Linked DNA regions of Mus musculus: region 2 is reported to be linked to region 1. Evidence: microRNA targets listed by miRTarBase, many of them from high-throughput screens and not tested one by one. Region 1 holds a microRNA gene; the other region holds the end of a gene's coding sequence.

Region 1 (6,052 bases):
ATGTTTGTGGTTGCCATGCAGCAACTGATGACTGGTACAGACTCCAAAGCACTCTCGAGGGCCCACCTCGTGGCATTCTCTCTAATGGCTTGTTTTTGGATCCTCTTGCCCTTACTGATTACATGATAGCAGCTGTTCCTGCCTTGGGGCTTCGTATTGGCTGTGTCCTCTACTGTATTTTCTTCTGTGGGTCACTGTCGGTGCTAAATGCAGTGAAATGAACTAGCGAGACAGTGGGCCCTGGCAAGGGCAGAAGGAAACAGTGACATGGGGTGACCTGAGCGGTGGCATTGTGCAGACAACTGGAGGAGGAGAGAGGACAGCTCACACATATCAGTCTGGGTGGAGGGAAAGAGAGCTAGAGGCCAGCTGGATCTGGTGTGCTCTCTCTCTCTCTCTCTCTGTTTCTTCCCGAATCAGTGGCTTTAGATACACCATCGCATTATCTAAAACCTCCCTCCTTCCCTCCTCATCCTGCCTGCTCCCCCATCTTCTTAATTGGGGTCAATCTTTCCAAGTCTCTCAGCTCAAGGGAGGAAGTAGTATCTGCTGTAGCAGATGGTCCTACATTCTGGTGACATCCTAGCTTTCCAGGTATCCCTTGGAAACAATCTTGAGTTTGTAGCCTCCCAACAATATGAAAAGTTAGACTTAGAAAAAAAAATGTTTAAAAGGAAGTAAATAAATATTTTTTCCTCTGCTATTCATATAAATATTCTGAGATACAATAATAATAATAATAATAATAATAATAGCCTGAAAATACCCTGGGTGTGACCAGTTAGTTGAGAGCTGGCAGTGTGTGTGTGCCCTGTCAGCTGCAGGGTGATAGCTAGGATTTAATTGCCCTTCCTAAGATGCAGCTCAGTAGAGTGAGGTGAACTAGAGTCTTTCTATATACATGTCTCTGAGGACAAGACTCACAACAGCTTCCACGTTACCCAGGACCCAGTTGGACCGTGGACACTCAGGCTTCACCACAGACCTCCTGGCCTTATTTCCTGGGGGTTGGTGTGCACAATCAGCTCCAGGAGAGCCAATCAAGTCCTTGTGGATGTCATGTCTCAGTGTCCTCTTTATTAGGATGTCACAGGTAAATTCCTGTGGCTGGTGCCAAGACAAACTGCCTAGAACATTTTATTTGCTGGCTTGCTCTGATTAAAGTGGAGAACGCACTGCACTTTCTCGTTTGTGGTCACCTGCTAAATCTTTACCTTATTTCTGGTGTTGCCTAACACAGCGTCTCATACACAGCAGAAGAGAAAGAGTCACTAAATGAATGAATGAATCTATTTCCTATTTCCTTCGAAATTTGAGCCTCTGCACAGGCTGAGATGTACTGGCGTGCTTTGTGTTGTTGTTGGAGGTGGAATCTGGGGTCTTGTATATGCTGGGCAAGTGTTTCATCATTGAGCTATAACCCAAGAGCTAAAAAACTTGTTCCGGTGGCATTAGGGTAGCAGACAATTTTTGGGGAAATGAAGTTTGTTTCCAGAAGGCCTAGGGCTGTGGAATCCTGGGTATAATGGATGCTTAGAAGAGAAGAGATGACTTCAGGTCTCAAGGACTGAGGACATGTCCCTAGTTTTCAGTGACTGGCTTTTATACCACCAGAAGCTCTGCACACTCTGTACTGACCCTTTTCCTGTGAACTTCCCTGTGTAACATTTGTTCCTCTGTTTTATCAGCTGAATGATGGAACCTCACAGCCAAGAACTTTGAGAGGTCAAAAGGACCTGGCTGCTTCCTGCAGGTGGCAATGGCTTCCTTTCTTCTTCAGCCTTTAGACAGTTTGGATTTCAAATTATTCCATCACTTTCTAGAACATTCCAGATCCAAGCTCTCCTCTCCTATCACAGATGTATTCTGCAGCGCTGGGCCTCTCTACTGCATGTGGTTGTGGGAGAAGAAAGCCGCTGAGGTAGTTGAAGCCATGTTTAGCTTTTAGTTCTGTGAGGCAAGAGGGCCAGGACAGAGCATTTCCCCTTCCCTGTCAAGATATCAGCACCTGCTTGGGAAGCCAGAAGATGGAGGAGTAAAAAAGCTCCTGTTCCTCGGGGGCTTGCAGGTAAGGTCACGGCCAGTGCAGAGGTGCCAGTCTTCTCCTGCCCTATAAGGCTGCTGCTACCTGTGAAAGATCAGTGCAGTTGCTTACCTGTCACCTAGGCCAGATGGAGACACAGCCATCGGAGTCACAATTAGTAACACCTACTCACCATACACACACATGCACATGCACACATATACACATATATTCACATACTCACACACATGCACATGTACAAACATATACACACACATACTCACATGTACATGTACACACACACACACACACACACATATATATGTATATACACACCTGCACACACACACACACACACACACACACACACACACATATCAATAGAGAACATGCATATACACGTACATGCACTCATGCACATGCACACCCATGTGTATATGCACACACATACATACACATATACACATATGCATGCACACACACACATACACTTATTTCTATAGGAGGGTGTACATGAATGTATATCACATGCACACATGTATATGTGTGTGAATATAGGTGAATATACAGCCCCTCCCATCCTGGAAACTAGCACATTCATATAAGACACCATAATACAGCTTTTCAATATTTTCTTTTCTGTAAGAAAGTAGGGAATTGACTGAAGTCCAGGGCTGTTGCAGTTCAGAAGTTCGGCTCTTTATCTAAATGTGGCCCTGAGAGTTAGGCAGCAGATGGAGGTAACATGGCAGCTTCCAGGGCTTGGAGTCAATGACTTCAATGAACAAAAACAGACACTTTCTTTTACTCGCTCCATTGAGAACATGACCACACATTCCTGGCTCACAGGAGACCCCTAAATCTGGAGGCCACTCCACGATGTCTCCTCATCCTTAAAGTAGAAAGTGGGACTGCGGAATCTGTCATGTGCTCCATCTTGGGCCACTGATGGGGTCTGTGTGAGATGAGATCTGATTTGCCTCGGTTATTCTGGGATGCACATTGGCTACTCTGCCCACTTCATCCATTCTGAGCTACTACCAATCTCCATCCTTACAGGCAGCAGCCAATTTGAAACGTACAGTTGTATACTCCCACTTCAGGTTACTTTTGCCAACACATATTACCTTATGTTTATTTGAGTTAAGTTTCGTCTGCCTGCAGGCTGCACAATCCCCCAAAGTGTTCCGATGCACCTGGAATTTCTTGCAAATCTTCTCTGTTTTTATTAGCCACAACAGTTTGGAACTAGTTGAAACCTCTGGGAAGAGATTAGACAACAATTACTGCCCGTTGCTCATGTAATGTCTGGCCAGGTACATGAGCCAGCAGGCCTTGCTTGGCGGGGTGGGGGTGGGTGGGCATGATAGCATTTCTATCCACTGGTCTGTCTTTTGAACTCTCAACTCTGGACAGGTACCAGGGAGCCAGCCTATCCTTGGGGTGTATGTCTACACAGGGGCATAGAGCTGTCTTATTTACAGGTTTTAGAAGCTACTGCTCTGGAGCCAAGGGAATGTGTGTTATCAAGGCCCACTCTGTCTGGTCCCCTTGGATATTACAGAAAGAAGGGACAGAAGAAGAGAGCCGAGGGAGGGGAAGGAAGCTTGCAGCACTGCTCGCTATGCTGGGTTCTGTAAAATCAGGTGATTAGACATGGGAGGAGGAAGGACAGAAGTATCACCCTTCGGACTCCTCTGGAGAGGCTGAGACATCACCATGGTCACATCCTGGAATCTGGGAATGAGGACTGGTTGAGGCTGGAAGCCACTGTCCTCAAGACCAGGTAGGACATCAAGGACCAGTTCCACGAGCCAGGATGGAGGAGGTGAAGCGGGCTGCTGCTTGCGGAAAGCAGCTTCTGTGAGCAAGGCTGGTGTGTGGGCAGCAGCTTAGGCTGAACGGATCCCAGAGCGTTCCAGCGAGCTAATCTTGTCAGCCTCAAGCTGTTCCACAGACAGTGGGTGTGAATCCAAAGCCATCTTAGATGCTCAGCTCTCAAATGTTTCTTTTAAGAAAATAAAAAAAGAGAGATTGAAGGTACACCAGACCCAAATGGGCCAGTTACCTGGGAAGGTTAGACTTGTGAGCTGTGAAGTGCAAGTATGCAGATGTTAGAGACGATGGGATGAGATGTGTGTATGGGGGTGGATGTCTCTTCTCTGTCAGCTATATCCCTGGATGAGAGTGTCTGTCTCCTTCTGCCTCAAGGATACTGTATATATCTGCTCCACGTGTAGAAGCAGAAGTCAGTGGTATCCAGTCTCCAGCCCTGGACTCGTCTTCTCTCCTGTTGTCTCTGCTTTCATAGTCAGTTGACTGTGCCTGCTTAAACTGTGCACATATAGAAACTAAATCTTGAGGAAGGAGGAACCCTAGGAGAGTAATATAATCCTGATCCTGACTTCTAATTAATCTCTATGGGGAGAAAATATCTTATGTCTGTATGCATGTGGCAACTGTCAGTAATAAATTTGATGACCTATAACTTGGCAGGAAATAGGAGGTAGGACATCTGTGAGGTAGAAAGGATTCTGGGATAGTGCCAGGTGGGAGATACACTGGGGAAGATGTGACAAGACAGATACCTGGTACCTGAGCACAGGTAACCAGCTATGTGGCAAAATGTAGTTGAGCATAGGTGGGTTATTTTAAGTTCTGACCTAGTTAGAGAAGAGCCTAGCTGTATGGCCAAGGTATTGTAAACATATTTTGAGTCTGTGTCTTATTTCTGGGAGCATGGGAATGGGAGGAAGAACAACCTACCTTCTGTATCCCTACTCTACCATTAGTCTCCTGTCCCTCTGTCCTTCATCTTTCCATGGCTGCAGGGAAGACCTGATGCTCAAGATGAGAAATTAAAACCACTGTCCCGGGGGGTGGGGGGTGCGGGGTGTTACATGGACTGTAGTCTGGGTCAACCAGAGTCACACTTGAAAAGGGGAATCAGATCACACTGATTCACAGCAACACCTATGACCCCTTTAAATAATGAGTGGCGATTTCATGTTACTAGCATGCTGTGACAGAGCATCACAGATCACACGGCTTAAACATTAGGTATTTACTCATAATCTTGAAGGCTCAAAGTAACAGCACAAGTGTTGGCAGGGCTGCTGTCTCCCGAGGACTATGAGGAGGAATCTTTGAGGCCTCTCTTTTTGGCTTGTAGGTACCTGTCTTCTGAAGTCTTCACATGGGCTGCACATGTCTGGGTCCACATTTCTTCTTAATATAAGATTAGGGACTGCCCTAATGGCTCTATGCTGGTGTGTGTGTGTGTAATACGAGCAACCAACTCCTGGTTGATTCTTCCATTGTCAAGCTCCACAGAGAATTCAGAGTGCTCTTGGGTACAGCAACAGCAAACCTCTTCCTCCATCCTTCCCAGGTGCTTTGCAATTCTTTCTTGTGTCTTTACTACTATTGCTGTGTGCATGCATGTTTATGTGTGTGAGTGTAGGTGCCTATACACACAGTACATGTGTGGAGGTCAGAGGACAACCTCCACTCTCCATCTTCACTTTCTGCCTTGTCTAAGGTTTTCTTATTGTTTGCCAGAGTAGCTGCCTGTGAGCCTCTGGGATTCTCCTGTCTCTATTGCCTATCTTTGCAGAGGAACTCTGGGATTACAGATGTGTACTGATGTGTTAAACTTTATGTGGGTTCTGGGGAGTCAAACTCCAGACCCTACACTTGCAGGGCAGTTGTTTTAAATATTGAGCCATTTTCTCAGCCCTGCTATTATTTTTTTCATACGGGGTCTTATATTGTAGCCAAGGTTAGTCTAGAGCTCATTATATATGGAATCCAAGTTAATCTCAAACTCAGTCCTCTTGCCTCATTCTCCCAAGCACACTGGAATTACAGGTGTGAGTCACTACTCCTGTCTTGCATTCATTCTTACTACCCAGTTTCTGACTGCTCAGGATAGAGTTTTGGCAAAATGATACTCATTCTTCCAGTCAGTGGTTATCCAGAGACATAGTATTGGCTGAGCTGTCAGGAAGGAAATAGAAATGATTTTCC
Region 2 (4,526 bases), not on the chromosome of region 1:
ACTGAAGGAGCTAGGGTATCAAGGATTGGTGGCTAACTTTTACCATGTGTTTAGAACTGAACCTTACATGGCTTTAAAGACTTCTTCATCTTACCACAGAATAGAATAGGTGGTCAGGTAACTTGTGGACCCTACAACTAGGCTGAGGGACAGGATCTCGGGCAGTTGTCCTCAATGGCAGTTCCCAAATGCAATCAGAGGCTTTTTCTACTTTCTTCAACAGAGATGGAATCCAACCCCAATCAGAATGAAATGAGTCTTCAGATTCCAAGTCCCTCAGAATCAGCATCCCAGCCACCTGCCTCACCCTCTGCCTGCACTGACCTGGACACTGCTGATGCCCCCCTCATCCAGTCTGATGAGGAGGAGGTACAGGTGGACACGGCCTTGGTCACATTACACACTGACAGAAAGTCCACCCCAGGTGTCAGTGATGACAGTGACCAGTGTGACTCAACTCAGGACATTTAAGTGACTTGTCAGCTGTGCGCAGAATCCTCCTGCAAAGCCAGGTGCTTAGAGGTTTTCAATTTTACACACTTGCTAATGGGATGTAAGAACCATTAGAGAAGCGCTCACAATAAAGCTTATGGAATAAACACTGTGCAGCTGGTGAGTATATGGGTCGTATAGAGGCCCCTGCCTTGACAGGTGCTTAGAGCTGATTGACCAAGAGTTCCTAAAGAAACACAGGTGTGGAGGTCTGCTGGAGAGGGCCTTGAAGGAAATAGGACCTAGGCCAGGCTATGTGGGCACCGTGCCCTACCATACTGGGAGGCAGAGTCTGTTAGCATAACCAATAGTGGTCAAATTGGGATCTGAAGAACTTAATTTTACCTAGCATCAGGTGACAACCTGGGAAAGAAACTTGCTTCCCCAAGGTCCCCAGGGCATGAGCTAGCCTAGTTGCAGCCCAGAGTGGTGAGCAGTGCCACGGACATGCCTCTGTAGCTCCGCTCCCTGGCCTAAGAGAGGATGTGTAGCCCCTGCCCCACTGACCAAAGAAAGCCCAATCCCTTCCCACAAGACAGACAAAATGTCCAAAAAACTTTTTATTATTAAACCTTGTAGTACAAACCTGAAAAGTAAACAAAGAACTGGCAATAACCACACAGAGCCTCCCGGCAGGAGGGGTGCAGAGCAGCGCTAATAAATTAAATGTCGAACTGTAAGCCATAGGCGAAAGGTTACCGACAAAGAGGGGAAAGTCCACAGCAAGGCCATAGAAACTGGACGACCACATTGGAAACACTCGACTGTCAGGCAATCGTTAAATAGTCCAAAGCAGTTTAGTCTTCTGCAACAACAGCCACCAAAGTGGATCCTAGGCGTTCCTGGCAGTCACCACTGGCAAGCTCAGTGCAATGTGGGTAGCTATGGACTGATCCAATTATGAAACAAACAACAGCTTGTGAAAACAGTTTCCCTTTTTTATTCCACACATACTGTACACACAGCCGGAGAAGGGCAACAGCTACTCCACTACCACGTTCTGTTGCTGTTGAGTGATGTAAGCAGCACTTATACATGTCACAAGAGAACCCTGTAAGCATCCAATCAGCCGATGAAGAAACGGAAACGTAAGGCTTTTCTCCATCTTCTCACCCCTTCCCTCCCCCTCCAAGAAAAGGCTCAAGTATTTAAAACAATTTACAGGAGTATGTACAAAAGGGATGGGATTTTTTTTCTTTTTTTCTTTTTTGTTAAAACATGAAGAGAAAAAATAGACAAGAGGAGCACAGATGTGTTTCACATTCAAAAAGAACTGCAGACTTAGTGGCTCTAAGTGTGAGGGAAACAAAGATTAATGCTGATGTGAGGGACACAAGCAGAGATGGAGGTGGAATGTCGGGAAATTGCACATGGATGACAGGGAAGCACTTACAGTCAACTGCTGTTCCTTTTCCTCAAGGATGCTATTGAAGGGTTTTTTGTTTTTTTGTTTTTTGTTTTTTTGATAAAGTAGCCAACAGCACCAAAAAAAAATAACAGAATGGATTTCCTAATGAAATCAGGCACAGGTCTCCCTCAGTGACCCTCCAAGGCAGGCAGTCTTTGTCTTTGTCTCTCTCTCCCTCGAACGGATGCATAGTGATGTGCTGGTATGAGAACCTCGTCACTCAAACCTCACAGTTTGCCTTCAGCTGCCATAACCGCCCAGCCAAAGAAACAGGGCTCTCCGGTTCCAAAAGTTACAAACTCCCTTCGCACATGACAGAAGAAAAGACAGCCAAAGTAAAGCCATTTCAAGTTTTCTTTTTTCTGTGTGTGTGTGTGTGTGTGTGTGTGTGTGTATCTTCTATCCCTTTTCCAATCTAGAAAAATCTCATCTGACTGATGGTTTTAAAATTTGTTCTCCAAACTTCACCATCTTCAAAAATGGGTTAAAAAGCCTTTATTCCTCAACAGTTACCAAACAAAACAGAACAAAAACAAACAAACAAAAAAAAAGGCATTTCACAGCCATGGGGCGATACAAATTAATACAGCCCCTCAAGGGTTTTAGACAGTGAGTGTACGGCAGCTTCCAAACCTGACTGCAGTATCTAGATATCTACGTACAAAAACTTGAACAGTTTAATGCTAAAACAAAATCAGTTCTCTAAAACCAGAAGAAATTCTTCTTTAGAGCTAGTGCAAAGACAGCTTGTATCCTACAGCAAGTACTCCAAACTAGAATATAGTAATTACAAAAAATATATAAGTGACCATGGGTTCGGCATCTTCATGAGGATGGGAGCCGAGATGGCGGCACATCCACGGTCGCTCTCTTGCGGGGACCTCTTTTTGGTGTGGGTTTGTTGAGACAGTTCTCGATGCCACCGTGTTTGCCAGACACTTTGCCACATATCTGGTTGACCAAACTGATGATCTGCTCCTGCCAGGACAGACAGACAACATTAAGTTAGTGCAGCAGAGGCACCAAATCCTATGACTTATCAGTGTGTGTCACTGGACATTAGCAGGCTTTCTAAATAGCTTTAGGATTCAGAGATGCAGAGGACTTGTGAACAGGACAGGGAGATACCTAAGGAAAGTCCTGTGGCTGCCGAGACTGCTGAGCACCGTGCATACCTCTCTGCCTTGTGGGCTCCCAGCAGCCACTAAAACTAACACCACCGCTGGGGGATCTGACACTTTTGGCCCCTAGTATGCTTGCATTCACATGTATATAACTCTCCATAAAGAACTCAAATGCCTGTCCTGCAAAAGAGAAACAGATGCCTCCACACTCGGAGGAAGACTGTCTCCTGAAACTGCTTCAGATAGTTGGAGGTAGGGTAGAAGCTGAGGCAGCAGGCCCTCTTTGAGAGCCAACATGACAAGAAAAATCCAGAAATTTAACAACAGCATCCAAATATGAGACATTACAGATTGAAGCTATGCTAAAGTTCTCCAGCATGTGACATCAGCAGCTCACATGACTCATTGTGTGTGACCTCTGCATTAGAGGGGGAAATGGGTCAGCTATATCCCTTTATTTCACCCAAGAGGACCGTGCAACTCTCTACTAAAAGGTATCCATAGCTGGGTGTGGTGGCACACACGTAGAATCACAGTTCTGCAGAGGTTCTAGCAGAACATATTTGGGAGCAGCCAGGGACACAAAGGAAGGATGTCTCAAAAACAAGAGAGCATAGGCAAGAACACCAGCAGTGAGGAATGGAGGCAGCCTGGACACAAGACTCCAGGTTCACACAGTCAAGTTCTGCCTCTAAAAAGCCTACAAACAGCTGAAGGATGTGACATAGTCCCCTGCCTCCTTAAAACAAGCTCCTTTGTGAAAGCCTTGCCTGTCTATCTTCAGGTCTGGGAGCCCTGCTCTTCCTGGGAGCTTCACAGTGCATAGGGGTGTGGGAGGAACAGGCCTGGAACCCCTTGTGTGTCTGTCATTGGGCTGCACAAGGAATGAAAAGGACTGAACTAAGAGCTTGTGTCTATCCTACCTTTCTCAGTCCACCCAGCTGAACACAATTGAGGGCTAGTGCTGACCCTTTACAACAGCAAGCCTCTGGCAGAGGGAGAGGCTGCTTCCAGATGTGCTCCTGTTCTTTCAGGACTTTGGTCCCAGTAAGATGTGGCTTCCTACCCCAGTGCTCAGTTTGTAGAATGCACTTTTAGAAGTCCTAATCATGTGCACAGATTTACACTCCCTGGCCCTGACCACTGCTGCCAACTCTGGGTCCTGGCTGGGGTCTTTGGAAGAAGCACATGGGACAGGATGCCAGATGGTAATTCCTACTCATTGCTGAGATTTAATTTTAATTAAGCACATTGTGACATTTACTGTTCATGTGACAAAGTAGGAACCAAAGAAGCTATGTTACTGCCATTGAACAAAAAGGACGCAAATAGACCTACGCTCTACTTTCCAAGGGAAAGATTCTGTTGGCCAAGTTAGGACTAAAACGCAGTGCTTGGGACCACATGGATGGCATGCTGCCTGCCCAGCCAGCTACAGAGCTGGGGAACACACAGTAATGGTGGGCACTGTCCAAAAGATGGTGCCTGAAGAAGGGAACCAG

The links. Region 1 holds the annotated microRNA mmu-miR-466i-5p (UGUGUGUGUGUGUGUGUGUG, at 2,321-2,340, opposite strand). A microRNA usually pairs through its seed, bases 2 to 8, with sites in the 3' UTR of a target mRNA and lowers its output. Matches are read on the target gene's strand: a 7mer-m8 pairs with bases 2 to 8, a 7mer-A1 pairs with bases 2 to 7 and ends in A, and an 8mer does both.
Region 2: the mRNA of Jarid2 is a reported target of mmu-miR-466i-5p. Seed matches in the 3' UTR shown: 7mer-A1 at 2,288-2,294, 8mer at 2,286-2,293, 8mer at 2,284-2,291, 8mer at 2,282-2,289, 8mer at 2,280-2,287, 8mer at 2,278-2,285 and 7 more.

The regions. Positions count from the first base shown.
Region 1 is chr3:85,463,670-85,469,721 of GRCm38, reverse strand. It overlaps Mir466k (microRNA 466k), which reads right to left and starts at 2,345; the gene lies at 2,224-2,345. The region is part of intron 1 of Gm31419 (a long non-coding RNA gene); the gene reads left to right.
Region 2 is chr13:44,918,152-44,922,677 of GRCm38, reverse strand. Jarid2 (jumonji, AT rich interactive domain 2) reads right to left here. Exons shown (of 18, transcript NM_001205043.1): 18 at 1,035-2,878. The coding sequence ends at 2,726. It overlaps Dtnbp1 (dystrobrevin binding protein 1), which reads left to right. Exons shown (of 10, transcript NM_025772.4): 10 at 224-599. The coding sequence ends at 471. Among named protein-coding and RNA genes, the nearest start is that of Dtnbp1, 82 kb to the left of the region's middle.